4 linked regions of the Caenorhabditis elegans genome follow. The protein of the gene in region 1 interacts with the protein of each later gene in a pairwise test. Each region holds a gene or a part of one and is shown in the gene's direction. Other genes may lie near its edges.

What was found.
Region 2: the proteins of alp-1 (region 1) and zfp-3 interact in a two-hybrid assay, tested with the Caenorhabditis elegans proteins (3 studies listed by BioGRID).
Region 3: the proteins of alp-1 (region 1) and mek-2 interact in a two-hybrid assay, tested with the Caenorhabditis elegans proteins (3 studies listed by BioGRID).
Region 4: the proteins of alp-1 (region 1) and F53B3.3 interact in a two-hybrid assay, tested with the Caenorhabditis elegans proteins (3 studies listed by BioGRID).

What each region holds. Positions count from the first base shown.
Region 1 is NC_003282.8:8,849,816-8,855,977, forward strand, and holds the start of alp-1 (PDZ and LIM domain protein Zasp), read left to right. Parts: upstream 1-2,684; 5' UTR 2,685-2,698; coding exon 2,699-2,797; intron 2,798-3,303; coding exon 3,304-3,449; intron 3,450-4,714; exon of another isoform or gene 4,715-4,730; coding exon of another isoform or gene 4,731-4,762; intron 4,763-4,844; coding exon 4,845-4,953; intron 4,954-5,083; coding exon 5,084-5,241; intron 5,242-5,480; exon of another isoform or gene 5,481-5,540; coding exon of another isoform or gene 5,541-5,633; intron 5,634-5,677; coding exon of another isoform or gene 5,678-5,857; intron 5,858-5,918; coding exon of another isoform or gene 5,919-6,162. Other genes in the region: T11B7.5 (uncharacterized protein), read right to left, coding at 5,541-5,633, 5,678-5,857, 5,919-6,162.
Region 2 is NC_003284.9:1,440,510-1,449,750, reverse strand, and holds the start of zfp-3 (C3H1-type domain-containing protein), read left to right. Parts: upstream 1-3,107; 5' UTR 3,108-3,174; coding exon 3,175-3,262; coding exon of another isoform or gene 3,263-3,291; intron 3,292-4,734; coding exon 4,735-4,827; intron 4,828-4,874; coding exon of another isoform or gene 4,875-5,344; exon of another isoform or gene 5,345-6,355; coding exon of another isoform or gene 6,356-6,362; exon of another isoform or gene 6,363-6,434; coding exon 6,435-6,598; intron 6,599-7,115; coding exon 7,116-7,257; intron 7,258-7,308; coding exon 7,309-7,513; intron 7,514-7,574; coding exon 7,575-8,208; intron 8,209-8,391; coding exon 8,392-8,565; intron 8,566-8,619; coding exon 8,620-9,120; 3' UTR 9,121-9,241.
Region 3 is NC_003279.8:3,009,936-3,016,273, reverse strand, and holds the start of mek-2 (Dual specificity mitogen-activated protein kinase kinase mek-2), read left to right. Parts: upstream 1-2,825; 5' UTR 2,826-2,828; coding exon 2,829-2,915; intron 2,916-2,976; coding exon 2,977-3,156; intron 3,157-3,211; coding exon 3,212-3,430; intron 3,431-4,608; exon of another isoform or gene 4,609-4,666; coding exon of another isoform or gene 4,667-4,785; intron 4,786-4,845; coding exon of another isoform or gene 4,846-5,584; exon of another isoform or gene 5,585-5,590; intron 5,591-5,655; exon of another isoform or gene 5,656-5,781; intron 5,782-6,338. Other genes in the region: nobh-1 (RNA-binding protein NOB1), read right to left, coding at 455-529; col-48 (Nematode cuticle collagen N-terminal domain-containing protein), read right to left, coding at 4,667-4,785, 4,846-5,584. UniProt on the Caenorhabditis elegans protein: Functions in the let-60 Ras signaling pathway; acts downstream of lin-45 raf kinase, but before the sur-1/mpk-1 gene product in controlling vulval cell differentiation. Required for progression of developing oocytes through the pachytene stage.
Region 4 is NC_003284.9:2,864,680-2,873,507, reverse strand, and holds F53B3.3 (CLASP_N domain-containing protein), read left to right. Parts: upstream 1-2,370; 5' UTR 2,371-2,447; coding exon 2,448-2,529; intron 2,530-2,612; coding exon 2,613-2,688; intron 2,689-3,762; exon of another isoform or gene 3,763-3,931; coding exon 3,932-4,157; intron 4,158-4,206; coding exon 4,207-4,308; intron 4,309-4,357; coding exon 4,358-4,510; intron 4,511-4,555; coding exon 4,556-4,672; intron 4,673-4,716; coding exon 4,717-4,914; intron 4,915-5,692; coding exon 5,693-5,855; intron 5,856-5,907; coding exon 5,908-6,019; intron 6,020-6,070; coding exon 6,071-6,515; intron 6,516-6,761; coding exon 6,762-6,991; intron 6,992-7,209; coding exon 7,210-7,277; intron 7,278-7,338; coding exon 7,339-7,436; 3' UTR 7,437-7,594; downstream 7,595-8,828. Other genes in the region: F53B3.5 (Conserved plasma membrane protein), read left to right, coding at 1-131; F53B3.6 (RNA-binding protein 6), read right to left, coding at 8,037-8,754, 8,811-8,828.

The sequences.
Region 1 (6,162 bases):
TCTTCAACTTATTACAAAATTCAAATTCAGCAAAAAACTATACATTTGAGTTTTCAGTTTCCTAGTTTAACTTTTGGTAAATTGACTGAGTAACGATTGTTCATACGAAGCTGTATCAGTTTTGGTGCTAAAGAACGGAAAACGTTTATTCACACTTGGTATTTGATATTAAAAAATATATTATTTATGAGAACTTTACTTTTAAAATATCACGACTGCTCTCTTTATACTCCCTCCATTTGTTCTTTGCCTAGAGAGTGTTAATTTTGTCTCTGTGGATCAACATGGTTTTGCGTACAATTCTGTAACTATTCAACTTCTGCATAAAACCCACTCGAAAGTCTTTGTTCTTTCTACACTTTTCTTCCAAAAAGCAGTGTTGATAAACGAAAGCAAAAAAGTACCGAAAAGCTGCTCATTGTTTACCTGAGAACCTATCTAGACGATAGAGGATTAGAGAGAAGAAGAACTTTTCAATATCTATTTTTGCCACCACATACAAGCAGACATACAACGTAAAAAGGTTTCCAAAAGATATATTTTTTTTTGCTTATTTTTTGCTTTTTTTGTGAAATATGAGTCGTGGGATGATGACAGGTGGTTGAATTCATCTCTATCTCTCATCTTAATTTGTTTTTTTTGTTTTGAGTTTAATTTCTGAGAGACTACTGTACGTACTTAATATGTACAGCCAAATATGGAGCGACATCAAGTGACATCAACCGGCTCTGTGTTTTCTCTGAATATAAACTTGATAGTAGAATGTCATCATACCATTTAATTTTTCATTAAATAAAAATAATTAATTCTTCTAAAACCTTATTGTTGAGTCTGAACTGGACTATGAATTTTACGAGACTGTATAATATATTTATAATTCCGCTCATGGCTCATTTTTGGCATAAACTTGGTAATGTAAACGTTTTGTGATTTGAAAAAACCCTATACTTCATACCACAAACTACTCTAACAAGTGTTCATACTTTTATGTCTCAAGCTCTTTCAAACAAATCGCACTTTTGTTCCAAATTTCTTCTCATTTTCGTCTCGGTCTTCTTATCATCCCATCCCCCTCCCCTTTTCGTTGATAATCAGCAACGCGCACTCGCTTTACTACAAACACGTCCAATACCTGCGCCTCCTCAAAATCATCCCTATATCATTCCGAGAGCTCCCCCGGCTCTCGGGAGCTCAAGAGGAGATGGCCATGAAGTGCGAGAAGGCTTCCCGCGCCGGGAAGAGCGAGAGAATGTCAGAGTTCGAGCGAGAGGATGTGCTCACGCCCGCGCGTGCCGTACACCGTTGGGCCTGAAGCTTTATCCGCACAGACCTCAGAACAGCAGAACCCCCACCTCCGCAACACAACACCAAGTTGATTTTTTGGAATTTTTTTTTGGAACTCAACCGTCTTAATTTATACATTAGTTCTGTATACTTCTAGACTTGATACAATGCAATTTCAACCTAAAATTGAAGATGTAATCTGAAATCACCCATCTCATATAAGAAAACAATGTTTAAAACTACTTTTTAGATTATGAACGGCAATCTACCAATGCCTAAGGTTGGCACGGTTTTTTTTGAATAAAACTTGTACTCTGCAATTCGATAAATGTATTTAGGATCATGTAAGATTGTTTTTTGCCAACATTTTAGCTCACATACGATAGATCTCTAGGAAGTTTAGTTCAGAACGTCATTCGTGGTATTTTGTGTTTATAATTATTTTTTACTTCAAAGCAAGTAGCATTACCAGATTGTTCAAATAGTTCTTTTTTGGTTGGTTTGTAGGACTTTAATACTAATGTTCAAGTTGCAAACGGAGATACAGGACTTCATGTTAAAAATCGTTAGCTTTGTTGTTATAAAACTTTATGTTATAAAACTTTCATAAGTTTATGTAGATTGGCCTACAAAAAGTATCACCTCTTTAAAAGTTTAAAAAATGTTACTGGCAGTTAGAAATAAAACTACAAAACTGGGGTAATATACGGTGTTCATTATGAAACACACTGATTATGAAAAAAAAATTGGAAAAAACTAAAATTTCAATTATTGGGTGTGGTATCGTTTTTTAAACGTAGTTTAAAACTATATGTTCCGTTAAACGATAAGAGTTCCATAAAAAAAATTAACTGTCAATCACGAATGACTCATCGAATCAGAAAACTCGTTATGCTCAGTTTCATAATTTCAATTGAATTTCTTTATTAATTTTAAATAAAACATCTTACTTTTTCAACAATCTTTTTTTTTCTGTTGTAGTCATTCACTACCATTTCCCCCGTCAAATTGCCCGACAGTCGATAAATATACAAAATCCAGCATAATCTCACTCTCCCTTCTTTTACTCTTATTTTCTATTTTGCACTATACGGAAAACAATACGATTTTTTTGTTTTCAATTTTTAATTAAAAGTAAAAATTCAAAATGTCAAAATGTTTGCAAAATTTTTCATCTATAAACGCCACGTGGTTATTGAAGATTTCGTGTAACTATTGGACTGAAACGTTTGCGCTTTAGCAAATAACTGCGTTTGAAGTGGTACACATTTGAAACAAAATGAATATTTTCGGTTGGACAATATTTTTTTAAACATGTTCTACTAAATTCTGTTTGAAACTTTGATTTATTTTTATTTGTTTCGCTCTATTTTATTGACCAGGACACAATAAAATTTCAGGTAGTCAAATCAAGATGGAACGTGTGACCGTTCGAATGGCTCGTTCGGATCGCCGAACTCCATGGGGGTTCGGTGTGACAGAAGCCCCAGATGGAGCTGTTCTTATTGTTAATGTAAGCTCTTTATTATAAATTTAGTATAAGTGTCCCCCTATTTGTCATAAAGTAGTTTGTCAGTTTGTCCAAATTGAATCACAATAAAATTTGTCGTAAAAATTAGTCTTGAGGCATATGTTTTCGTATACATTTAATACAAAAACCAAGAAAACCCATCACATTCACTTTTAGCACCTCTAGGTTCTTACCGCGATCTCAAAAATCACCGCATCACCACAACTGATTTACAATCTCATCGCCTTCCTCACTTTCTCTCGCAGTTTTATCCTCTGGACATGCCCAGGGAAAATCGGAAGAGCAACACAAAAAACATCACTTATTACAATAAGTTAGATGCTTTCAAAATTTCTCTCAAAACTCATAGACAAAATGTAGTGAGAGATTAGTCGTTAACGTAAGAAAAAATGAATTTGAAAAATTGACATGCGTTGGGGGATTTTTTAAAGCAAAGGGAGCCTTCAATTCAAACAAGTTGAATATCGAATAAAAGTTGAAAATTTCAGGTAATAGGTGGTAGCTTAGCTGATCGTGCCGGTCTTCGTAATGGAGATGTTGTTGATCGTTTGGAAGATCTTGACAATTTGGACATAAACGCTGTTGATAGACTTCTAGTTACAGCTCATGAGAAGATTGAACTTATTGTTACCAGGTAACTCATCTCGTTAAACACTTCAAATTTATCAGTATAGCACCAATTATTCAAAATTTGTGTCGACCACAATAAATAAAAATTATATATAAACAGAGCAGGTGTGTGAAAATAATAAGAAAGACATAATTTTCTCGAATATTTCCCCTAAATCGATCCCTTGAAAATGTACACAACCCTAGTTATGTAATCTGTAGCTTTGTTATCACAACGCAATTCAAAGTAGGTTACTTACCAGTTTGTATTTCCGTTTATTAACCAGTCAAAGTGTTCTCCGTTTTAATCACATCACCAATGTATCCTACCTTTCCGTTTTTAATCCGTCTGCGTCTTAGTTTATCTCCAACAGCAAGTGCTTCATGCAATAGAATATAGATATCCAAAATTTTCGAAGCGAACACCCGCCATATAAACAGGCGAACAGATAAGAATCAGGCCAATCGGTACGGGGGAAGCAGAAGGCAACATTCTTCCGAATATCTCGTTGCAGGAAGAAGGAGGGACTTAGGATTTATACATACATATTCCGTTTGATGACAAATCGTTGCAACTGTTTTGAACTGTTTTGAAACGGTCAAATGTCCCAATCAATGTTTTCTTTAGCTTTGCAACAGCTTTGCAACACAAGTTTTGCTCCTCTTATAAGCACTCTAATGTCATTAAATTTGAAGCTCGTTACCTTTTTCCCTCAAAAATCATTCTGTGTTGATAGTTTTAACAAGCTTCAGATATTTTTGCCCCTTTAAACTTATTTTTGAGCACTTTTTACATAAGCAACTGCAAAAAAAGTTGCATGGAAAAATGTTATAGAATTGCCAAAAATAACTGCCACAGCATTCAAGATTCTTTCCAAAACTGCTGTATAGTTTTAAGAAATACCAAAACAAAACAGTTTGACAATTATTATTATTTTGGCTTTTACTTTTCCCGAATTCGCATAATTTTCTCCTGAATGTTATGTTTTACTTTGAACAGTTGAATTTTAAATAAATAGGGTTTTAATGATGAGTCAGTTCATGACAAAGCAATGTACTTCTGACACTGTTCTTTTTATTTCATTCTCTGTTGTTGTATCAGAGTGTTCCAACAATTTATTCACCCTCTCGCACACAAAAACTGAGAGAATGAAATTGTTGAATACTTCCTCTCACATATTTCCCTTTTCCAGGTGTTTATCATTTTTGAACAAAAAAACTTGCAAGTTTCCTTTTTCTTTACGTTTACCCATTTTCCTATAAATATATTTCATGTTCAATTGAAATGATTTAAGATTCAAAAGTGATGGTGAGAATCACAACGACGCCAAGACCATGGTAATTTGAAATTTAATCGAAGAGATTAAATAGAAAATAAATAAATTTTGATTTCATTCATATCAAATAAGTTTAATTTCAGGCAACCATCCGGTGCAGCCACCAGAATTTGGCGTCCAGAAGTAACTGAAAATACTGGACCAGGACAGGATCAAACCCCATATCGTGTCAATTTGCAGCATAGCAGTGATGTGAGTCATTTGAGTTTTGTTTTGAAATAGGAAGCTTCACACAAAATCGTTATTTGTAATCGTTTTTAACGACAATAGCATAACATTTTTTAAAATTTCTAATAAATAGTGAATAATAAATTATTTTTAGACCCGTCCACCACAAGGTTTCAACAATTCAGCACTTCCTTTTGAAACAGATCAACGTGTGAAACATATGCAATACAATTCTCCATTGGGAATTTATTCCGATAAGTCTGCAGCTGAGCAATATGTTCAACAAACTCAAGGATTGGGAGATAATTCAGGGTGAGTGTTTTTTACATGACTAAATTTTTGAAAGAGCACTTATAGTTCAATTTGGCCAGAAAATATAGTATAAATTTAGTTCGGAAGTTGGCCTATATTTTACAAAAAAATTTCTTGAGACAAGTCATGGCCAAGCTTTGTTCACCCTTTACCAACTTCTGAACAAAATTCTTAGGTTTGGGGCAGTTGGGTCAGAAGTGGCGGTCGAATTCCGAGTCTCATAAATTAATCCAAAAATTACAAGACGTTAACGCTTTTTATCATTCAATTTCAAGAAACGAAAAACAAATTAAATGTATTTAAAATCCACGACGGCTTCTCATTTCTCTGAAAGCTGCAGTGAGGTTATCGATGAACAAAAGCTCGCGTTTCTTGCGCGGAAGGTAGTCTCCCTGAAAATTGATATTCTTTATCATAACAATTCAATCGAAATTACCGTGTCGAAACCTCCGGCGACAGCAGCTTTTCCTGCATCATCTGTAGCATCAGTTTTAGCCTTGCAGTCCTCTGGAAGATGTGGCATGACAAGTGCCTTGGCTTGCTTTCCATAAACTTTTGCCAAGTTTTTAACCGCTGCCTTGTCAGCATCATCAAGTGACTCGAATTTGGATTTAAGCTGGAAAATGTAGGATAATTTAGATTGTGAAAAAACTAGGTCTTTTTCTAATTTCCCTCACCTCCGCAGAAATTTCTTGATGACTCTTGAATAAGTTTCCTTGTTCAAAATCGCTGATTACTTCTCCAGCCAATTCTTTTGCCTTGTCCGAAGGCAGATTTGTTTGTGCATCGGTCTTTGCCGCAGCCACAATGTCCCAGAATTTTTGACGAATTCCTTCTCCGAGAGTGTCCAAGAAAGCGTTCAGCTTGGTCATTTTGGCTGCTGCATCATCAGTTCCTTCAAGTTCAACACGAAGAGCTTCA
Region 2 (9,241 bases), on another chromosome or scaffold:
AAATCTCAGATTGTTTTTCTTTTTTTTTTTAACTTTAAAATCATCGAAAGTTTCCCAAAAACTTTTTGGAGCCATTCTACGGGCCTCCAAATTAGTGAAATAATGCACTGAAATTATTTCAGACCGCGTTTTTAGAATACCAGAGTTTAGTTCCGCCGTACAACTTTTTGTGGTGACCTAGTTAAAAAACAAGCTTTCAAATGAAATATGTGTGGTTTAGAACAGGGGTGGGCGGGAAACGATTTTTTCCGGCAAATCGGCAAATCGGCAAATTGACGGAATTGAAATTTCCGGCAAATCGGTAAATCGGGAAATTGCCGGAATGAAAAATTTCCGGCAAATCAGCAAACCGGCAATTTGCCGATTTGCCGCATTTGCCGACAAATCCATTTGCCTAACGGCAATTGCCGCCCAGCCCTGGTTTAGATGTCCTAGTATTTGATTGACAGACTTTCCTTGTGAGCCTAATAATGAAGATACTAATTGCGTTTTAAAAACAATGTGGGGTTATAATACACATGTACCAACCATTTTCATAGTACTAAAATGACAGAATATCATTCTAAAATGTTCAATAAAATTTTTCAATAAAAAACTTTCCATTTTATTTCAATTTTTTTTACAGATATTTCCCACTACATCTGAAAATTCCTGTGGAAAGCCAATTCATGTCCTAACATCCCGCTGCATTCAAGTTTCTGAGTTTCATAGTATTGACACTTTTGAAAGCATCTTTCAAATCTCGAATGAAATCTCATATTCTTTCACAATTTGTTGATGGAATACCTCAAAAAAAAATCAACACGATCTCTTAAATATTTCTGAGTTTTCATCTCTAAAATTTTTCAAAAATATTGTTTCCCGTCAAATAAATTTTTTAATATTAATATATATATATATATATATATATATATATATATATATATATATATCAAGCTTAGAAAAATACTTCGCTAATAGTAAGAAAAATATGGATATCTTGTTGGGGGGGGGGGGGGGGACGAAACCCAGAGGTTCCAACCATCTTTTTCAAAACTGGCCAAATCCACGATACTGTCTCCATTAAACTAGCAAAAGATGAACATTAAAGATTTCTCCTTCCGTTTTAGAATTATGAGCATCTCTCACAATGTTACACAATTGTTTGACAGTTTTCTTCCAGACAAAAAGAAATCTGTACAAATTCCCGTTGAATGAGCTTATGGTGCATCGGTTTGTGATTTAAAAAATTAAGACGCTTTTGACAGTATCTCTTAAATTTAAATCGAAATTATATTTTTTTTTTACAAGTAGCAAACTTTTGTAGGATATCAAAATTTCACGCTAAAGTTTTAATTTTAATGCTGAACACTAGAACGTTCAGTTTAGAATTGCTCATTTACAACTGTTCACTGTCATTTTTTTAAGATTACATACAAAACTGCTACTAAAGAAGAAAAGTTTCTCTAAATAAATAATTTTATATCAAAAATTGGTTATTAAATCACTTAATTTCCAGAAAATTATTCTAGGATATTGCCAAAGAAATGATTTTTTGTGAAAAATGTTCGAAAATTCCAGGATTTTGATTCCAATTTAAGTGTTTTCAGGCGTTTCTAGAAGTTTTTCATCTTCTTTTATCCGGCAAGCAAATTGCAAAAATTTCTGTTAAACGCGGTTCAAATTTGTGGAAGCTAGCATCATGGTGCATCGACATTTTTTTAATTTCTCTTAAAGTATCATTCGAGTCCTGTATTGTCTGCCTTCATGCACTAATTGTCAATTGAGTCCCTTCAAAATAATTTTCCCTGACATCTGGTAGTTCCCTGCAACTTCCACGTTATCTTGACAATTTTCTTTTATCCGAGAGGTTCCTTCTGTAAAACGATTCTGACAAACTAGTCCACGTATTTAAGAGCAAACATCATGGTTCATCAAAGTTTGTGAATTTCAAAATAGTAAACCTAATTCATAGAATCTCTAAAATGGACTTTTTTGTGAGAAATGCTCAAAATCGAAGACTTTTGTCTGGATTCGATTATTTTCAAACGGCATTTTTAAATGATTTATTCAAAACGACAGTATTCTTCCAGTTGACTAGGATAGTGAAAAAATTTCTGTTTCACCAAAAAATTCATGTAAACTCGGTTCAAGTTTCTGTAAGCTAACATCATAGTGCATCGATTTCTGTGATTTTCAACAAATTGGCACGTTTGACAATTTTCCTCACAATTCCATTTAACTCCTGCTTTATGTCTTTACGGGTAGCCTGTCTGTCGAATACTTTCCCTTATATGTAGCTAGAAATAATTTTCAAAAACCAATTATTTTTCCTGAACTCCACTGATTTTCTGTAGTCTTATCGATTTTTTGACAATCTGCTCCCAGCCAAAAAGGAATCTGTAAAAATTTATGTTTCATTTGAAAATTCCTGAAGCAATTGCAAAAATCATGGTGCATCGACAAACTTTTATCAACTTTTTTAGTTTTTAGTATTGCATGAAAAGTCGTTAGAATCTGTTCTGGTGAAACTGTTCTGGAATGGTCTTTCGATTGAAAACTTTTCTCAAAATATAAGTTTTTGGTTGGCTGAGCTTCAAATTCAAAAAAAAAATTGCTTTGAAATTTTAAAAACTCACAAAATTCATGAACTTCCATCAATATCCAATATGCATTTAACCATTATTCTCCAAAAAACACGCTCCGCAACTTGTCGTCAGTGTGTATGCAGACATCGGTGAGGGACCCAAGTGGTCGCATTCGACAGCCCACATGATACACGCTCTCGTCGTCTCGTGCCTCTTTTCCCTCGCCACCTGCACTCTCTCGTCGACTGCGGGCGATCTCTAACCACTCTCTGGCTGCCTGCTCGGGATATTTCCTCACTATTTGACTGCCGGGGGTCTCTTGTGTCTACGATCGATAGGGAAACGCACGCTCACACAAACACTCTCCCGCACACATTGCGCGTTTCGAAAATGTATTAGGCTGATTTTGGCGAGTTTTTTCTCCTGGTTTTCTTCTAGTTTCCCTCAACTTTTTAAAATTAAAATTTTCTTTGATTTTTCCTCTTTTTTTTTTAAATTCACTAATATTCTCTTCAAATTAAACTCTTACAAAATTTCCAGAAAATCTACACAAAGCAGAAGCAGCAGAAGCCGCCAGCAGCTCAACTCCGCACCAACACCGTCTCCAATGGCCGACGTCTACACCCCGACCAAGACAATGGACGGCGCCTTCCTGCCAGCAGTGGGATCCCCGAACACCTCCATCGACTCTCCGGGTAAGTCATCGGAATTCTACTATTTTTGAATTTGAATTCTAATTTGCAAGTTCCTTATTTTCTTCTCCACTTCATCCTATTTCTTCGATCTCGAATCTTGATATCAAGCACTTTCATTTTTCTTTGTGACACAGTTCCGGGTTGGCGAAAAAGAAAAAACCGTTTTCAGAGAGACAATTGAAATAAAGAGTTCTGTTTTAACCGCACAATATGAAGGAAAATAATGTGAGGAACAGAAATGCCCCAGATGTGGTCGGATACCCAGAAAGGGATGACCGGGCTTTGGACACGAATTTTCAGGTTCTGAAGTGCCCTCGGCATCTTGGAGCACCTCTGACGTGCTGAGAGCAGTAGAATCCAGAAGTCAAGATACTTGGACTTGGACTTCAACTTTGGCTATATGGGACCAGCAGGAAAACTTCAAGCTTCTACCTAGCAGGAACCAGCTATGTTTCTTGGATTATTAGGCTTTCACTTCAAGGCTCAGAAGCTTAAGTCATTTAGGATAGGCTCTCGCTCTTCTCTTTTTCCCTCTTTGGGCCTAATTTCAAGTTGAGAACAGTGACTACGTATTTTCTATAGAGAAGATAAGATGTGTCCTGGTTCCGCGAGAAAAAGGGATAGGGAAACAATTATTACAAAGTGATAACGGCCTGATTTCGAACAACTTGCTGACTATGCTGAAGCTGTGGCCTATTTTTTTTTCTATCCTCTAGTAGAATGCTGGAAAAATTGAATCCGACTATTTTAGTACAGCTGGAATTTTTCGTTTTAAACTTTGGGGGTCTATGGTGCTTTTTGAAACTAGATTGAAACTTGCGACTACTTTTAATATTTCAGAAATGTCCTGAACAGATCTGAGGTCTTTTGGAGAATTTTGGAAGTTTTGTGATGATCGGGCAAGATTACGGCAAATTCATTCAAAGTTCACAAAGACATAAGAATGCATGGAAAATATCTGGCAAGTTGTGCCAAGTTCTGAAGGGTTGTACAGTTTTCGAAAACATTTCTAGAAGTTTGGAAAAGTCTAGAAAAATTATGGGATTTGAAGAAAATGTGGAAGGCTTTTGAATACTTTCTGTTAACTTTCTGCAGATTTCTGGCATTTTTAGGGAAGTTCTATATCTTCAGTAAGAGCTGCAGACTTTTGCTCACTCACTGGAGCTTTTTTGGCAAGTACGGGTAAGTTCTGGAAGTTGACCGAGTTTTTGAGTAGACCGGAATCAATCTGGCAAATTTTGTTCCATGTATCTGATAGCTTTTGAATTTTTTGAACAATTGTTATACTTCTGGACATATTTCTTACGTTCCGACATTTTTCTCGGTGGATATTTTTTCAAGAAACTGCTAGATTCCAGATATTCTAGATAAAAAATACTCTAAAAATACAAGAAAATTTGAATCTTCCTTGAATATATTCTAATAATTTCCAATAGGCAGTTCAAATTCAATTTTAAATTTCAAATTTTCAGCAGTCTACGTACCGACACCACTCACCGCGCCATCCACATCGAAGACGACTCCAGTGAAGCCCGAGGATCAGACAACGCGGCAGAAATATGGAGGTAGGTGGAAAACTCTTTAGAATTTGTATCCTAACATCACATTTCAGGTACATGGAAGCTCCGACACTTGGGAATGAGATGGAGATGTGCTCTTCCCACCCGCCGATTCCCACTTTCCCAGCCCCTATTTCTATGTAGCGTAGATACGACTATTCACATTTTAATGAATTATAGAACTCTCCAGAACTTTAGCAAAATTTTGAAAGGTCTTGGAAAAATGGGAAAATGTAATTTTAAAAGCGGACAAAAACCGAGATTTATTATTAAAAAAAGACTATGGATACCCGGGAACTATGGTCACTCTTATGGAAGCCTCTTCTCAATTGTGAATCCCCATCACTTTTCAGACTCCCCAATAAGTTGTTCTCCATGTTTTTTCTATGTTTCTGATTTCTTCTTTTTTTCTATTTTTTTGTGCGTCCGGAGTTTTTTTGCAGATGCTCTCAGCTTCATATGGAATATTCTACAGTGGTTTCGTTTGCAGAGCCGAGCAAAATGGCGGAGAAGATATATATGAAAGATATATGAAATTCCAGAAAAATCATCAGAAGTGCACGGGCTGAAATTTTGGAAAAATTGCCGCCCGTGGACGTTTTTGAATGCGGAAATCGATAAATTGAACATTTTTGATTGGGAATTTGAAAGAAAAGTTTGAGTAGATCATTTTTGAAGGATGTCTAGAATTTTGAAAATGTCTAGAATGCTCAGCGATTGAGAAAATGTAAAAAATTAATATTTATGGTCTGAATTTTTGTAATAGTCGGATAGGTTAGGCGTTATGAATTCTGAAGAACACTTACTTATTTTTCGCAAAGAAATGTGACTTTTCCAAATTTGTAGTGGCTTAAAACGTTGTAATCTTGAAATTTTGATCTCCCAAAAATCTGATTTCTGTACTTACTACTAGTAGAAATGTTTTAGAGAAAATTGCTTGCAAATTGAAATGTTTCGAGGTTTCCGATGAAGAGCCGTTTCAGTTGTCAATTTTTGTATTAAATTTTACGACGATTCTTTTGTTTTTACTCAAAACATTTTTTAAAAATCGATAAATTGCAAAACTCGGTGAGATAATTTTCCTATTGGTATCCCCTTGTAGGCCAAAACTTAAATTCACAATAATGAACAAGTACGCTCTATTTTTGGAATAAACCGTGGAATATGCCTTGTGAGTTATTGCGCACAAATTGGAATTTTTTGGAAAAAAAACGATGCTACTTTAAAAAATTGATAAGGAAATCAATAAAAAGATTGCCGCGAAAAAGTTTGGACTATAAAAATTTTTGGATAAAAATTCAAAACACGGAATAAAAGACGCTCATAAACTCGAAAAAATGACAATTTTATACCTCGACGGATGTTTCAACACGTGGAATTTCTAGGTGACGTAATCTAGCGCTATTGATTTTTTTCTTGCAATTTGAATGGGAACCCCTTAAAACGCCTCAAAACTTTTACAAAATTGTTCCCATTTCCCCGTCTCCCCTGCCCCGTACCCATACCGTTTCAGAAAGAGCACATTTCAGTCTTGATGCCAAGTTTGTTTGAATACTTTAATTTTTTTTTTCAAAATTCCAGAAAATCTCAATAATACCAATCAATATTTTCAGGCTCAGTCTCCTACTCGCCATCCAACCCAGGAATCCGGATTGTGAAGCGAAAACCGAAGCCGGAAGCAGTTGCCGCAGCAGCAGCGGTGCCGACGGCGATTTATTCAGGAAAACGACACGCCACAGATGATGGAGAGGATGCGGGACTTGCCGCACTGAAATTGGTAGGTTAAAAAAGGAATTTGACAACTAAAATTGCTTTGTGGCGGTAGAGCGCATCTGCATTTTTTCAATGAGACTGTGCTAGACTGTTGGAAACGCCGACTGCTAGGAAAATTGAAATTTTATCTTTTAAAATTGAGCAGAGTTGTGTGCCTTGGTACTGGACAGTTCGGGCAAAAATTCTACAAATGAATTTCGAGCTCAAAATTTATGGTTTATTGGAGCAAGCGTGCTCTGATCCCGCTCTTTGAGAAATCGTTCAACGGGAATTTGACAACCAAACTTGCTCAGTTTCGGTAGAGCGCATTTGCTTCAATGAGGCGGTGTTAGAATTTTGGAAAATTTACCTTTTAAAATTGAGTGTAATTGCGCGCCAATTCGTCCATGGTACTGGACAGTTCGGAAAAAAAATTCTACAAATGAATTTCGAGCCCAAAATTATGGCTTTTTAGAACAAGCAAGCTCTGATCCAGCTACTTTCTTGAAAACAAGCAAAAACTATTACTAATCGCCCTCAAGTATTTTCAGAAGCCAAACCGTGGAATTCTCCGTGGTCCAGCTATCTCCAACCTCAATCAGCGTGGCACCCGTCGCCTCATCTTCGCCGACACGCGAGGTCTTCCACTGGTGCATGTTAAGGAAATTGAACGTATTGCAGCAAGTACGCCGCCACTAGAGCCTACCACTAAAACTAATGCGCCTCTTCTTTCAGTCCACTCGAATGTTGCCGACTATCGGTGTTCGGAGCGAAATGAGGCCGCCGCGTTTGGCCAGGAGATGGAAGTTTTTGAGGATGTCGAGTGGTCGCTGGTGCCGGTGAAGCGGTCCAAACCGGCGCGCAGTGAAATGTCAGAGTCGGGCCTACGGGAAGAAAGACGTATCGAAGAGGAAGGAATTATGAGAGGGGCCATGTTTGGGTAAGTTTTTAGGCATATATTGACCTGTAATAAAAATTTTTTAAATTTTTTGCGTTTCCAGAATGTGCCAACTCGAGGACAACCCAGCGCTTAACGAGCAGGCAGCTGTCGACCGTGCCAACTACACGCCGACCATCATCCCAACCGTCAGTGTTCCATCGGAGCCCACCACTCTCGCCACTATCCGCGATTTGCCACTTCCGGGCCGTCCGCCACGTGTTCGTCCACAAGATTTGCTGCTTCAGGTCAAGCCGAACCAGGGATTCCACACGTTGCCACTCTACCATAGCCAACGCCCGGAGAACCCTCGACGTCCGATGTACGCACAGCAGCAGCAGCAGCAATCAGCCCACCAGACGCCGACTCCACACATCCAGCAAGTGTTCCAGGAAACGGAACCGGTCACCAACTACTACACGGCCACCACCTCTGTCCCGGAGACCCCGGAGCCAGCTCCAGCAGCCCAGCCTGCCAGCAGATTCGAGCTTCCATCGAACCTCAAGGAGATGCTCAACCAGCTCAAGAAGAAGGGGTTCGTCTCGTCGGATGAGACTCCTTCGCCGACGACTTCAGCTCCACCGCCGGTTGATCCACTGGCGGCTGCAATGCAGACTGCTCAGCAGATGATGCTCCAGCAGGGGAACACGTATGCAAGTGAAGAAGTGCCGCAAGATTATCCAATGGATGGATATGTCGTGAGTTTTTTTCGCTTTTAAAAACGGGCTGGAATTGCTTGAAATGGTCCGACCCGCTTTAAAAATGTGTGGGCCCATGGAAGCTTACTTCAAAAACGGGACAGGCCCGGTATCGGCCCACTTTTACACGACGCTGGTCCAAGTCCTCCTTATTTATACATTAGCAACAGTCTAAAATTTCAGGCAACATTTGCAACTCCAGAGATGATGGCTCAGGAGCGTCGCCAGGACTCTCGCAACTCGGAAGGATGGACTCAATCCGGCTGGAAGATTCCAGAGCCATGTGTCTACTTTATCAGCCGCCCGGGTGGATGTAATCGGGGAGATCAGTGCAGATTTATTCATGACGAGGAGATGGTAAGTGGCAGTTTGAAGCTATTTTTTTTCCATTCTTACTTATTTCTTTTTCAGAGACGTCAAAAGATGGCAGAGCTCCCACCACGCGGTCCAAATCATCACCACGACAACTTCCGAGGTGGCCGAGGCCGCGGATTCCGTGGAGGCTACAACAATCGCAACAACTACAACAACCACCACGACCGCGACTTTAGAGACAATGCAGGCGGAAACCGTGGCCGATTTGGCGACACTGAAGGATTCCGTGGAGCACGATATGCTCGTGGAGGCTTTGCTCCTCGGAACAACTCGAGATTCGACCAGAAGCCAGCGTACAATGATGATGGCGGTCATCTAGGATCCCCAAATGCACATGGATCCCAGTATCAGGATCCCGTTCCGACTAAGAGAGCCCGTGTCAGTAGGTTTGATAGACAGGGAGAAGATGATGCTCCAGGCCAGGATATGGATCAACGGCCACCGAGGAGAAATCGATTTGACGAGCAGCCACCTCGCCGGACGTTCCGCTCTCGCTTTGATCAGCAAGCGGATCACGATGAGATGAGCCAAGCTTAGTGGCGGAAGAAAAAAAAATTAAATTAAATTGCATTTTCCACATTTCTAGTCACATTTCTGACCCCCCCCCCCATTAGTTCTTTTTCCAACCCGTAATATATTGTTTTTTTTTGGGTATTTT
Region 3 (6,338 bases), on another chromosome or scaffold:
ACAAAAAACAATTTTTTTTTGGAATTGCTGAATCTGGGACTCTATTTAGGCCCTAAATGTGCTAAAATTAACGAACTTGAACGAAATTTGTAATGAAACTTTGTCAAAATTTCGAAAAAATGGCCAAATTCTATCTAAAATCTCCAGTTTTTACCACTTTTCCGTGTCGCAGCGGTCGGAAGTTGACTTTTTTTGGAATTATCATCCTTTTTGCATATTTTGTTCGTTTATCTCATGCTATTCCGTTGAAAATCGCCCAAATTAGGTATGCAATAAAGGATGAAAATTCCAAAAAAGTCATTTTTGGACGGCTGAGACACGGAAAAATGGTCAAAACTGGTGATTTTAACTGAAATTAAGCCATTTTATCGACATTTCTGGAAATTTCACTATAAAATTCGTCCATTCGAGCACATTTTGGGTCTGCCAAGGCTCCAAACTTGAAAATTCTCACATGAAGATTGCGATTGGCAATGATTGCGCACGTGTCAATCACGAGATGCTTGATTGGCTTTTCTTTATTCGTCATTCTCTGAAATATCGAAAAGAAATGAGATAATTGCGGCGAAAAACGGAAAAGAACAGAAATCACGTGATTTTTTGGACTTTTTTGTGGATCGTTATGGAGGATTATGCTGATTTTAACTGATTTAATGTGAAATTTTATGTAAAAATATTAATTCCAAACAAAATCCAAAAGAAAAATGCAAGTTTAACCCCGAAAAAACAAAAATTGTCTGGAAAATTCGTGAAAATCGCAAACTTTCGTGTGGCAACGACACTCCGGAATGACGGAGGCGCGTGTTGTTTAGCGCGTCCCGTTTTTGCGCTTTTTCTCTCGTTTTCATCGAATTTGCAATGATTTTTTCAGTTTTTGGCCTTTTTTCGTGTTTTTTTCGGTGTTTTTCGTGAAATGCACGTCTTAAAACGTCTAATAAGCTTATATTTCCAAGAAATATCGATTTAAATCGGAAAAAAGACTACTGATGCGTCTTGGAATTGTTTGCTCTTTATCTCTTCTCATCTCTGTTTTTTCGACAAAAAAGCTGAAATAAATCGAATAAATCAGGCAGTATTGTTCTGAAATGAAAAATTTGCAGAAAAATGGTATTTTTCCATTTTTTTCATCAAAAGAAGCACCAATCGTGGAGAAAGTCCCTTCTTCTACGTAGAAATCCCCGTTTTCTATATAATTCCTCTCATCGAGACTTATATTATCCGATTAGCAGGTCAAAAATCCCCGTTTTTGGCACGGATCCACTGAAATCTCAATAAAAATCACATTTTCTCGAAGAAAAAAGCAACAAAAGAGCCGTCATCCCCCTCTCAAATTTCCTCTCCTCCTCAATTTCGATTAAATTTTTAATTATTTAGGCGCTTTTTCTGCTCTCTTTTTTCTTGCTCCAGCAGCGGCTCCCCGCATCTCTCATCGCCTTCTTCTCTTTTCTTCTCGCTTGACCGAGCTCTCGCAGTCCGGAAAAGCAGTCAATAAGCTAGAGAGCCGTGCTTTTTTTTCACCTGTTCTCAAAAATCGCCACTTCACGACAGGTTATATTCATCAATCAATTCATCACGTTTTTGCCTCGATTTCAGAGAAAACTAGTTGTTTCGGAAGAAATTAATCGCGAAATTTTTTTTATTTTCCCTTTTTTCAGACGGCTAAAATCACGTGGAAATTTATAATTGTATAGGTTTTCACTCAAATTGGCTCGAAATAGCTCGAAAAAATTCCAAAATGTGTATGGCGAATCAAAATTCGAAAAAAAAAAACCAAAATTTGCTAAAATCAGCGGCTAAAAATCCAGTTTTCATTGAATTATCTTCATTTTTTTAGAATTTTTGGCTTTTTGCCACCCAAAAATGGTCTCAAGCATTGAAAAAACACTGCGACAAGGAAAAGTTGACAAAATGTAGGATTTTAGCAATTTTTGCTTCAAAAACACGCCAAAAAACAGTTTTGGAATTTTTTAAAAATATGTAATTTTAGGTCATTCTGAGTATATTTAAGTGAAAACCCTCTTTAAAGGTGAAGTACCGAAATTCGAATCTTTGCTTTTTTAGACCCAAATTGGTCCAAAACTACCGAATTTCGTAATGAAACGTTTCGAAAATTTCTCAAAAAAAAGTTATGGCGGTTCAAAGTTCGGCAAATTAAGGCCCACAAAATTAAGGCCCAACGTCTGGAACCCAATTTTTATTTATTTATCACTTTTTAATAAATATTGCGGTCTTTTATTAGGCTTTTATTCGTTGTTTTAAGTACATTTATGGTCAGTGGGCACAAAATGTAACTTTTATTTGTGCCCCAAAGGCCAGAAATATGCTTAAAACAACGAATAAACGCCCAATCAAAGACCACAATATTTATTAAAAAGTGATGAATAAATAAAAATTAGGTTCCAGACGTTGCGACACCGAGAAGTTGGAAAAAATTTTGATTTTAGCTGAAAGTTGGCCTTATTTTGCCGAACTTTGGACCGTCATAACTTTTTTTTGAGAAATTTTCAGAATGTTTCATTACGAAATTCGGTAGTTTTGGACCAACTTGCGTCTAAAAAAACAAAGTCTCAAATTTCGGTACTCCACCTTTGATTTCTGAAAAAAAACTCTGCTTTCAGTTAAAATTACCAAAGAAACTAAATATTTTTAATATTTCCTGACTAATTTTTAGAAAATTAAATAGTTCTGAGTATTTTCTGAATTAGACTCCAAAAATCGCTAAATTTTCCCATTTTCCCCAGTTTTTCATAAGTTTTCTTGGAATTTTCCTCGTTTTTTTTCTAAAAAAAACCTCTCGATTAAAATAAAATCCAACTATTTTCCAGATAATGTCGAGCGGAAAACGGCGTAATCCGTTGGGACTCAGTCTACCACCGACAGTAAATGAACAAAGTGAAAGTGGCGAGGCGACGGCGGTAATAATTTAAAATTATTTTTAATTTTTAAATATTGAATTTAAAAAATATAAATTTCCAGGAAGAAGCCACCGCGACAGTCCCACTAGAAGAACAGCTGAAAAAGCTCGGGCTCACGGAGCCACAAACTCAACGGCTCAGCGAATTCTTGCAGGTCAAGGAGGGCATCAAGGAGTTGAGTGAGGATATGCTACAGACTGAAGGAGAACTTGGCCATGGAAATGGAGGAGTTGTTAATAAGGTTGGAATTTGCTGAAATAAGCTGGAATTTGGAAATAAAAAGTTCAATTTTTCAGTGTGTTCATCGAAAAACCGGTGTAATTATGGCTCGGAAGCTTGTACACCTCGAGATCAAGCCGTCAGTCCGACAACAGATCGTCAAAGAGCTCGCCGTACTTCACAAGTGCAATAGTCCATTCATTGTTGGATTCTACGGGGCTTTTGTGGACAATAACGATATATCAATTTGTATGGAGTATATGGATGGGCTTTCACTTGATATAGTTTTGAAAAAGGTAATAGTTTATTGGAAAATGTGCGGGTATGTTGGAAAATGATATGGTGGACAGTTCTCGCAGGATTCTCGGATTCGGCTTGTCCTTGTGATCCGCATTGTCGATCTGACCAAGCTTCTACTCGGAGTACCTGGCTCTGCCGATGGTCCGAATGATCCTTGTGATCCTGAAGCTCCGACCTTCTTCCCGGTACCTGGAATTCCGTCTTTCCAGAGGTTCCTGGCGGATCCTGTTCAGAAGATCGAACTCCGGCGTCTCAATTGCTTCCGTCTTGTCCTGGAGATCTGCTCTTTCCCGGATGTCCTGGTGGGCTTGCTGGAGCGTTTCCTTCTGGAAGAAGTTCTCCAGGCTCTCCTGTGGTCCAGAAGCTCACGGGCATTATGGCGGAATCGGGAGAGTTCAATCACGAAGCTCGTCCTGGTGATCCTGGATCACCTGATTCTCCGACTTTTCTATGGTTCCTGGCGGTCCCTGAGCTCGCTGGTGGGCAGTGCTCGCACAATCCTGGTATTCGGCTTGCCCTCCTCCTGGGAGAAGTGCTCCAGGCTCTGCCGATGGTCCGGATGATCCTTGTGATCCTGAAGCTCCGTCCTTCTTCCCAGCACCTGGAAGTCCGTCTTTCCAGAGGTTCCTGGCTGAACATATTCAGAAGATCGTCCAATAAAAAGCTCGTCATTCTGGATTTTTAAACGAAATCTTTGGCTCACCCTGCTCTCCAGCAACTCCGTACGTGGTGTCTGTCCGCTGTCCCATTACGGTTTGACCTACAAAAAATGCGGCAATTTTTTCCCCAAAAAATGTGACGTCAGCTGAAAATTCTTCGTCTCGACTCCCGCATTTTTTGTAGATCTCGGTAGATCAAACCAAAACGGGGCAGCCTGGCACCACGTGCTCCGACGTCTCAACTTCTTCCGTCTTGTCCTGGAGATCTGCCCTTTCCAGGATGCCGTGAGCCTCCTGTCCGTCTTGATGGCCTAGTTGGGTTTGCTGGAGTGTCTCCTTCTGGAAGAAGCACTCCAGGCTCTCCTGTGCTCCCCCAATACCTCCAACAGAAGCTCACGGTGCTCTCCTGGTTCTTGACCTAGTTCTCTTTCCAGAGGTTCCTGGCGATACCTGAGCTCACCGTGCTTCACAAGCCTCTTCACCCTTTTTTTTATTAAATGGACAACTACGACATATCGATTGAAAAAATAATATAGTTTATTCGAAAATGTACAGACAGACTCGCATAAGCTTCTAATATCCTGGAGCAAGACGTGCTGGTGGGCAGTGCTCGCACGATCCTGGAGATCCGGCGTCTCCTGGCGATCCTGGAGTTCCGGCTTGTCCTGGTGGTCCTGGTGGTCCGCGTTGTCCTGAAACAAATTTAACGTTTAGAAGAAGAAGAAGAAGCCTAGCTTATCATGATAATTTACCTGGCTCTCCAGCAACTCCGGCGTCTCCGTTGCTTCCGTCTTGTCCTGGAGATCCGGCCTTTCCTGGCTGTCCTGGTGCTCCTGGCCGTCCTGGTGGTCCGGATGGGCCTGGTGGAGCGTCTCCTCCTGGAAGAAGTGCTCCAGGCTCTCCTGGTGGTCCGCGTTGTCCAGGCTGTCCTGGTTGCCCAGGTGGTCCCGGTGGTCCGGATGGTCCTTGTGGTCCTGGAGCTCCATCCTCTCCGTTTCTTCCCGGGTTACCTGGAATTCCATCTTGTCCTGGTGGTCCTGGTGGTCCTCCAAGTCCTGGAGCAGCAGTGCATGGGCATTGTGGTGGAACCGGGAGAATTCGATCATGAAGCTCGGCATCAGGTCCTGGTGGTCCTGGCTCTCCTGGTCCTTGACCTGGTTCTCCGTCTTTTCCAGGAGTTCCTGGCTCTCCATCTGGTCCTGGTGGTCCCTGTTGGCATGTGCAGCATTGAGCATCAGCTTGACGTGTAGCTCTGAGCAGAACATCAAGTGGATCATCAGCACCTTCCGGTGCAACCTCGACCATCTCACGCCACATATCCCGAGATCGGGACTTGCAGTACTCAACCTCTCCTTGTACGGAAGCTTGAAGGGTCTGCACATAGTGGAATACCAATGGGAAAGCGATAAGCACAGCAGTCACTGCGACTGTGGAGAATGTGACGGCGACGAACGCCACACTTCGCAACGATCCCTTGCTCTTCTCGTCCATCTGAAATTCTATGAATTTTCTAGAATATTCGAACAAAGAATCAAAGGTGAAGAAGGGAAATGAAAAATGTCAGAAGTGTCAAAAGAATAAGAAGAAGAAGCCTACACAGTCATTTGCCGTTGCCCCCGAGTGCTTATATGCGGCCGCTGTGGTGGAACGAAACGGCAAGTCGCGCACTTCTGTGTGCGCTGCGTCTCATCGTTGCGCACGCAATTTCCGTGCGCCCCGCGCAGTGAACATCCCTTGCGTTTTTTTTTTCGATTTCCTCATCTTCTCCGCCCGTTGTTGTACATGACTGTTGATTATGATGACACATAAAGTATCAAGGTGTGGAAAAAGTAGGGGAAGGAATCGAAGAGCAGTTCGGCTGGAAGTTTTGGGACTTCGAAAAGCCAATAATCGAGTTTCGGCGCTGTAAATGAGTTTTCTACTCTTTCAGGACAGTTAAATAATGTAGTTTTTAAAAGATTCCGTATAGAAAGTCTAGGGCTTCCATGTCGGCGTTGAAACACCTACCTGCCTGATTTGAAGGCGACACCTGCCTGCACGTGGTGCCAGGCTAGGCTGTCCCATCACGATTTGATCTACAAAAAATGCGGCAATTTTTCCCCAATGTGACGTCAGCACGTTCTTAACCATGCGAAATCAGTTGAGAACTCTGCGTCTCTTCTCCCGCGTTTTTTGTAGATCAACGTAGATCAACCCGAAATGCGACACTCTTACACCACGTGTGTCGGCGTTGAAACACCTAACT
Region 4 (8,828 bases), on another chromosome or scaffold:
CAAACTACTATGACAAGGGGGCTGGAACTATTGTGCCATACAACTACAACACGTACGCTGGATATGGTGGCTACCCATATTACAATCAATACAACACTGCTGGCTATGGATACATGACTTATGGACGTTAAAGAGTGTTCTTCATATTGCAAAGAAGCCCTTTATTCTAAATTTTTATAGTACTCAATCAAGAAACGACGAGGTCCATCACGAATATTCTCACCAAATTCTATGTTTTTTTTGAATGTCAGAAGTTTTATTCTAGCCTTTTCTTGGAAAGTCTAGACTTCCAGTAATCCTCTTCCTCTTCCACTTGCCAACCAAAAATTGTTGCCGTTTTGTGTATGTGTGTATCGCATTTGTCACAGTTTCCCCATAATGTACCTAAACTACTTAATAATGTTTTTTTCTCAACTTTGTCATTCTGAGTTTAGTGTTTTCTTGTTCTGATTTTGTTGGCAATCCCCAATCCGTTTTATGTCCGTCTTCTCATTTTTGTACTGCCACTCCTTGTTTGAAATTATCGAGTTTGGATGGAAGACCCTTGGTGCTCCTTTTCCCACTTGTCTTATTCAAAATGCCATCTGCCCCCTTTTTTTGTTCAGTTCGTTCAGCAAGCACAATGAATTTAAAAGATAATCGATACTCGAATATGCCACACCTCAGTTCCCATTTAATCATTTCACTTTTTCATACTTTTAAATATGTGAAACACTTTTTTTCAGTTCATACCAAAGTATCTAAATAAATCAGTTTGATTGTAAGAAAATGATTCAATAATTTATTATTTATGACAACATGCGAACGTCCAATATATCATTAAAAAAGCAAAAAAAAGATTTTATTCAACGATTTTTATACTTTAATTTTGTTTGTATTACTCTTGTTAAAACATTTTGTGGTCGGAACATGCGGCATTGCTCTGAATTTCCTTCAAAGCAATTTTTTTAAATTTAGCATTTTATCAAAATTTTGACTGAAAACTTCCATAAATGTAAATTTTTTTGGAACATTTTATTATGATATTCGATTTTTATAAGTGTATTTAGACAAAACCCCTACCTGCGCTACTTCAACTTTAATAAATGTACGCTAAAATTATTCGATCAATTTGTTCTCAAATTTCCTGACCCAAGAAGTTTTCAATTTTTGCTTCGTCTCTCACAATTTTATTGGTGGACGGAAACAAATACTTATGGGTTGAAAAATGCGACATATTTTAAAATTTGTTTGAAAGTAATATTTAATTGTTTTGTGAAATTGACAATTTACCAAAACTATGACAAATATTGCTGAAGGTGGTGTAGCACCAGTGGGGAAATTGTTTCAAAATACATATGAAGCCAAAATGAACAAGTATCATGGTAATTTTTTGAATCTAATTTTTATATGATTTTAAATTGGAAAAATGTCTGTTTTTGCCACCTTTTTGGAAGTTGTCGATCAAATAAAAATTGTTTATTTGATTTTTATGCTGTGATTATTTTTGAATTAATATTTAAATATTGCAAGGATTAAAACATGCGACATAACTAAAGTTTTCTCAAAAAGTGGCAAAAACTCGGTCTTTTTTGCCAGTTTTTTATAGTCAATAAATTCTTTTTTCTCTTATGAAATTGTAAAATTACAGACGCTGAATATTTCAAAAATCAAGAGGGTGTTTTCTCCATTTACCTACCAATGATCAAACAATTTTCTTAGCTCACGAATGAAATAGTGCACAAAGTTTTTATTACATTCATTTGCCGAAAAAATTGAATACCATTGGATGTTATGAGTTTCGGAGTTTGAAATTATGCTCAAATTATACTATAGGTTTTACAGAAATCAGAAGGTAGCACAAAAACATTAACAGATGGAAGATGAGTGCAATCAGTGGTAGAAAAATGAATTAAATTAAATTTTGGTACCTATTGGTTTGTACCATTTGTTTTTGAGAATACTAAAACTATTACGTTTTAATTTATTTAAAAAAAATCATCTGCTAAAAACATTGTTAATTGCCGGATCAAAAAACAAAAAATTTTCGCATAAGAATTTTGATTGGTGAGCAGAAACTGAAAGCAACTCATTACCGGTTGTGAGTACCTACCAATCTGTCAGTAAGTTGCTTAACCTCCGCTTCCCATTATGTTTACCCTCTCGTTTGCGTTCACAATGTGTCGCAGTGTTTCTTGGCAAACTCTCGACTTCTTTCCGCTCACCGGTATTGGGGACGGTTGCAGAAGCATCAGCAGGCCCCCCCCGAGTCTTCAAGCCTTCATCGGAGGTACTGTTTGCTTTCAACTGGCACACACACACACACACACATCGCGTCTCGCAGCAGCATTCACTACAAACCTAGCCTGATTCCTAACCACCACTTAGCCTTTTCCCTGCCTCACCCAACTAGACTCGACACATTTGGCTCCCCTCATGTTAATGGCAAAAAGAACCGAGTGAGAATAATGGATCGAAATGTCAACTCGCCACGTGTACTTGCCGACCAACTACGGAGGTTTATTCAGAATCCGGATTCGACTCCTTCAGGTAAACATATATCCATGACAAGACGGGAGTGTATTCAAACTGAACACTTTTAAAAACCACCACCAAATAGGCACTTTTTTCAGGGAGCGGTATATCTTTATCAGATGCTGGATTTGTTTTGTTATCTTTAAAAGACCAAATTTTAGCGGACTCAATAAAGTAAGTAGTTTTGAATTTTTTGTTGGCGTTGATGTTCCAACATTTTCCAAGCGAACTTTCTTCACAAATTTGAAAAAAAGTTTGATTAAAATTTACAAAAATGACAGTGTTTTCTATTAGTATATTGGAGCGCAATGTTCAATTTTGACAGCTTATACCTAAGTTGTCGATTGTATCATTAAAATCAACTAGCAACTTACTAACAACTTATTTACAATGCAACAATGTCAACTAACAAAATATTTGTTAGAATTTTTGGTACATGTGTATTACATAGTTATAAAAAATTTAAGCGTGTACAGTGCATTTGATTTTTCACTTCTACGACTTTAAAGGAAGACGGATTTATGCGGAATGGTCTTGCCGCGCGTTTAGTCATCATTTTTAGCAGTTTCTGGGTAAAATTCGCGTAGATCACATGTATATCACAAAATATTTATCTCATATTTTGTATTTCTGTTGCTTTCAAATTAATTGTGCTTTCACGCGTGATCTACGCAAATTTTGAACAGAAACTGTTAAAAATGATGATTACGCGCGCAGCAAGACCATTCCGCATAAATGCGTGGAAAAACCAATGCACTGTAGCATATTTTTGAACTTTTGAGCTTAGGTAATAACCATTTTTAAGCCCAAAAAAATGAATATCACGTTAAATTTCAATGGAGAAAGGAATGAACATTAAGTAGAATTTTAAAATGAGGGCATGTAAAACACAAGTACCGGTTTTTTTTAAACATAGTTTGTAGTTTATCACTAATAGATATGTTTAAGACAAAGTGTGATATAACATTTTTCAATGCAAAAATTATTTTTAGAAACAGAAACAGTTTTTCAATTGTTTGTTCACATAATTTTAATTAATTTATAAGGTTTCTTTTACATTCATTAGCCGAAAAAATGCATTGTTTCAAAAACTAGCTAGTATTACAATTACTTCTTAAAAGAGAAAGGTTTTCCGTTGCTCTATTAGTATTTTTAAAAAATGCATTCCCTCAAGGAAAATTTATTTAAATTTTTTTGGCCATTTTTTCGTATCGTATTATCCATTTGGCGGTACCTCCCGCGCTCAACTTTGTGCACTCCCGTGGCCATTATTTAACTCCGACTGAGAAGTAAATACAACAGTGACCGGTTCTAAAACCTCCCACCCCCCCCCACGCACTGATAGCTAACTCCTCCGAACCACAATATTTGCTCCTGTCTGACGTATGCTTCCGACATGAATTTCAATTGTTTCCAGGGCTCAACATTTTTCGCATGAGTTTGTATCAAAGCCTATCAACGGGATTGAACTACTCGGAAAAGTGGTGATTGTTCTGCAGGGAATTGTGAACAGTGTTGAAGGATCTGGATCGAAAATTTCCTACCTGCTCAATAGAAATTCGACAAATGCCAATCGAAAAAGAAAGGCAGCTGTTGCTGAGGCCGATTGCATTGAAAGCATCAAACTGTTACTTGAGAAATCAGTGAGTGAAAATTTGTAAGATTCATGCCATTAACTATCACCTTGCATAGGAATCAACATGGAAGTCATTTCTCGAAACATCAACCGGATTGGATGCCATAATGTATTCTATTCATTCGCCTCAGCTGGACTCCAAATGTTACTCACTCGAGGTTGCCGTTTATCGTTGTGTTTGACAAATTAGAATATCGTTCTCTGCAGATTCTTCTTCTGCTACTAGAACAACCGCAAGGATTTGTGATTTTATTGAGGGCGCTGACTGTTTTGGCAGCAAGAAATCGGGACTATTTGAGGTTTTCCATATTTGTAGCACAACTCAAACATGGTCTTCATACAAAGAAACTTCACATTCAGGTCTAAAATAATACGGCGCATTTCGTAGATTTTCGCCATTTTCAGATCCTTGTGGCTAGACTTTTCAACAAGTTGATTGCAAGCGCACCAACTCCAGTGCACAGAGCACTTGTTAAATCGGAAGTGTCATTAGCCCAGTACAATCCAGAAGTTGTCGAAAAAGTAGGTTACCTATTGTTCGTATTCTGAACGCCAAATTGTTCCAGCTCATTGGATACCCGAATTCATCCTACGGCGGAATGGACACTTTGATCGATGAGTTGAACGCGTGGAAATCACTGAACCAATATGTTGGAGGGTCGGGACCCACCGTTGAGCATAACCACATTTATGGAACTTCTGAAGTGGACGGAAGCAGCATATCGGAAAGAAGTCGGAGGCATGCTCCAAGCTCCAAGATCATGGTAAATTTTCTGTTAGGTTTCATAGCATAATAAATTGCGATATGAGTTTTGTATTGTTCAAGATGTACAAAAAGATTTTAAATTTGTCTGCTTGCGTTGACAAAAAGTCATGTTGTATCTATCAAAATAGGTAAAATAATGAAAGGAAATTTTTAGCTTTCGCCGCGGTACGTTTGGTTATACGAAAAAGCCTAATAGAATAATTTAAACTACATACCCTTTTTCTTTTGAATCCCCAAGATAAAACGCTGTTGTACCCCGTTAATCTTGATGAAATTTTCAATTTTCTTAGAACCTCGGGTACTGCTCAAAAATAAATTCAAGCAGCTGATATGTTCAAAATATATGTTTTAAAAGTCCAACTTGTGTTATACAAATTCAGATTTTTTTTTACAAAAGTTCCAGCAAAGAAAAGGCATAATGAAAACTTCTCAAAAAAATTTTGAGATTTTTTATTTACTGTCAAATAGTGATAACTACTCAGTATTCTTTCAGTCATAATTTTGGAAGTCGACCAAAAAAATCTACGGTTTTTGCTCTTCATTTTTATTAAACTGCGTTAAAACAGAAAATTTGGCAGTTAAAAAAACTCTAAAAATTTTTGGATTGTTTTATCATGATATTCGATAGTTCTGGATCACTATAAGTGTATTTCGACAAAATTTCCACTGGCGCTATTCCACCTTTTGACCTATTAATAGTGATGAACCCTGAATGTGAATTCTTATTTTGTGGGCAAAAGTGCCGGAAGAAGGTAACTTATTTTATTTTATTTCAGCCAGTGACATCCGTCGTTAAAAACGTTGAACGTCAAAGATTCCGAAAGCAGGGTGCTGGCTCCGGTGGAAGAGCTGCCGGCAATTATTACTTTGAAGGAGGTGGCGGCCCACGCTTGACTTATGACCGAAGATCACAAACATTATCGCATGGTTCTTATGCTGGTAAGTGATTAAACATTGAAAATTCGAATTGATTTCTAAATTTTAATTTCAGAACCATCTTCTCCAATACCACCATCCAGAATGGGTTACGCCACCGAGAGAAGAGAGCCGTTCGGTGCGATGAGGCGAGCAAAAAGTGAAAGTGCAATGGTTTTCAGAGAAAAGTACGTAAAGTAGTATTGATAACAGCCGAGGTATACAAATTTTGTTTCCAGCAGGGAAGAGTATGAAAATGATTCTCCTGAAATGGCGCCACGCGGCTTGAAACGATTTGGCAATAACAGTCAAAAAGAGCAAGTCCATTATCACCCAATCCAACAAGTGAAAACCTTGTCTCGAAGCGTTCATGACTTGGCCATCCGCGACGATGATCCAGGAACACTACTTCGACCAGTTTCTGCACGACCACCATCATCAGCGTCTCGAACACCGTACAGAGCAGTGTCCCCAGTTCCAGTTTCACCAATTATAAAGCAAGATGCTGACATACCGTCTAGACGACTATCTAGTGCACTTTCTCCAAGAGCACGATTTGCGGATCCTCCGATTGTTGAGGCTCAGCATCCTCACGCAGGATTTTCATATTTGTTCCCACAACAGCCAGTTGTCAGTTCAGTGTACAACAAAAAAATGATGTCGCCGGAACCAAGAGAAGTGACTGTACGTTTTATTATTCAAAATTGCAAATGTTCCCAACTTTTCTTTATAGGTGAACTACTAAAATACGCCATAAAGGGCAAAAAAAGTGTATTCCAGCTACGGTGACAAAGAAAAATTAGCGAAATTTCAGATTTTAGGAAAATTGGGGTGTATGTTTTCGAAATTTTTTTTTGGAAATTTTTTGAGTAGTCTCATTATGAAATTCGGTCGTTTTGGTCCGGTATATTTAAGTTTGAAAATTTTCAGAGCTCCACATCAAATCGTCCTGTATCAGCGCCCCTGTACGCCACAGCAGGAAATCACGAAGGCTCCAGCCGGCCCCTCTCTCCTCTGGAAATTCAGAACTCAATGTCCGGAACTCATGATTTCGATATGCCAGTTGCATACAGTAATGAGAATGGACAAGTGGTGTATGTTCCGATTAATATTGAAAGTGGAGTCGGAGCCGGGCCACGGAGAGTGAGCAAAACGTCAAAGTAAGGAATATAAAAATTATTGTAATTTTGAACCACCAAAAAGTGACCGAAATTTAAGATTTTAGTTAAATTAGGCTTTTTTCGAAATTTTGAAACACCATAAAAATTCTTGAAAAATTTTTGAGATTCCCATTACGAAATTTGTTCTTTTGAGCACACGTGGGGTATAGAATTTTAAGTTCCCAGAACTGCCTTGAATGTGTAATTTTCACATTTAGGTTCGACTATACTCCAAATGAATCTCGCAGCAATAGTCGTGCAAAACTTCGGAGCCCAAGCATTAACGGTAAAATTAATACTTCATAGAGATTTTTTAATCATTATCATATAAACCTACCAAGTTTCAGGAGAAGATGTTCGTAATGCTCTGAGCCAGTTCGATTACTTGTATGACTATGAAGCCGACCAAAACCCAAAAAATCGCGAAGCCACTTATCATTTGTAATGAAACCGATTTGTCATAAATTTAACCACAGTGTATCCCGAAAATAATTTTAAATTTTAAATTTGCTCAAATATAGGCTTAAGACTTGTTCAAATTAAATACCTTTTTTTTGTATATTTAAAATAAAAATCTTGTTAACATATATATGAACCCTTTTTCTTTGTCTTTTTATTTTTCCTAATTTTATTTGCACGGTAAACCTCCAACAAATTGATTTGAAAGACATCAATGGGATAACCCTGAATCGATTGCGTGCAACCCAAAACAAGGCCATTGGAATTAGGAAACGCTCTCTCTCTCTCTCTCTCGCTCGTTTTCTTTCGCGCCGCCAACAATTTGCCTTGTTATCAAACAGTATCATGACCCCAACTTGATTAATTGGGGAAATATCATTTAGGATGCTTTTTATTATTTGACTATTTGTGGGATTTCGGAAAAAAAATAAGAAAAAAAAAGAATTGGCAGCGACAGTGAACTTGAGAATTTGAATGGAGAAATTGAGGAACACGGGTGTAAATAGAGTTGCAAAAATCAAAGAATTGAGCCTAGATACAGATTAAAATGAAGAATATCAAACATTGTCAAGGTTGAGCAAGATTTTCAGATGTTTCTGTAAATTGGCTGTGGTGGTGGTGCTTGTTCGTAGCTCCATGGTGGCCAAACAAATTTGAAGCAACAACATTGCACTCGATGGTGTTGCACCGGTCGAACCGGTCTCATATCCTGATGATATACCTGTGGCTGTTGAGTGATTGCACCACGTGAAGCTCCAAATGACGACTCGTGTCCTCCACCGTGTGACTCGTGATGAGATCGGTGATGGCTGCTTGATCGGTAGCCGCCACCTCCACTACTTACCACGCCTCCAGGTGGTCCACGATATGGCTGCACTGCTCCATACTCTTCTCTTTCGAAATCATCTCCGAATCCTCCTCGACCATATTCCAGGGCTCTGCGATCTCTCGTAGCTTGCTCCTTAAATCGGGAAGAATACGATTTTGGACTGTCACCCATTCTTCCATCAAATGATCTTCTAGGAACAAAGTCACGGTCTCTTCCGAGAGGCTCCCTTACTGGTTCCTGAATATCTCGATTATAAGGAATGTGTACATCTTGGCCTGCTTGTGGACGACGATCATCAAATCCATAAGGCTCGGCATCTCTGTGACGTGTTTGAGGGGACGAACGGAAGTCATACTGCGGATCACGACCAATGTCACGGCGAATAGGGATGACAACTCCACCATCATTAGGATATTCATTTCGATGAAACCCATCATCATGTCCTCGAAACTCTCTGGTGTCCAATGATTTACTTCTGAATATGAGAGAGCAATTACAATTTCAGTGAATCTTCTGAAAAAAAAAAGTTACCTGGATTTCAGATCAAGC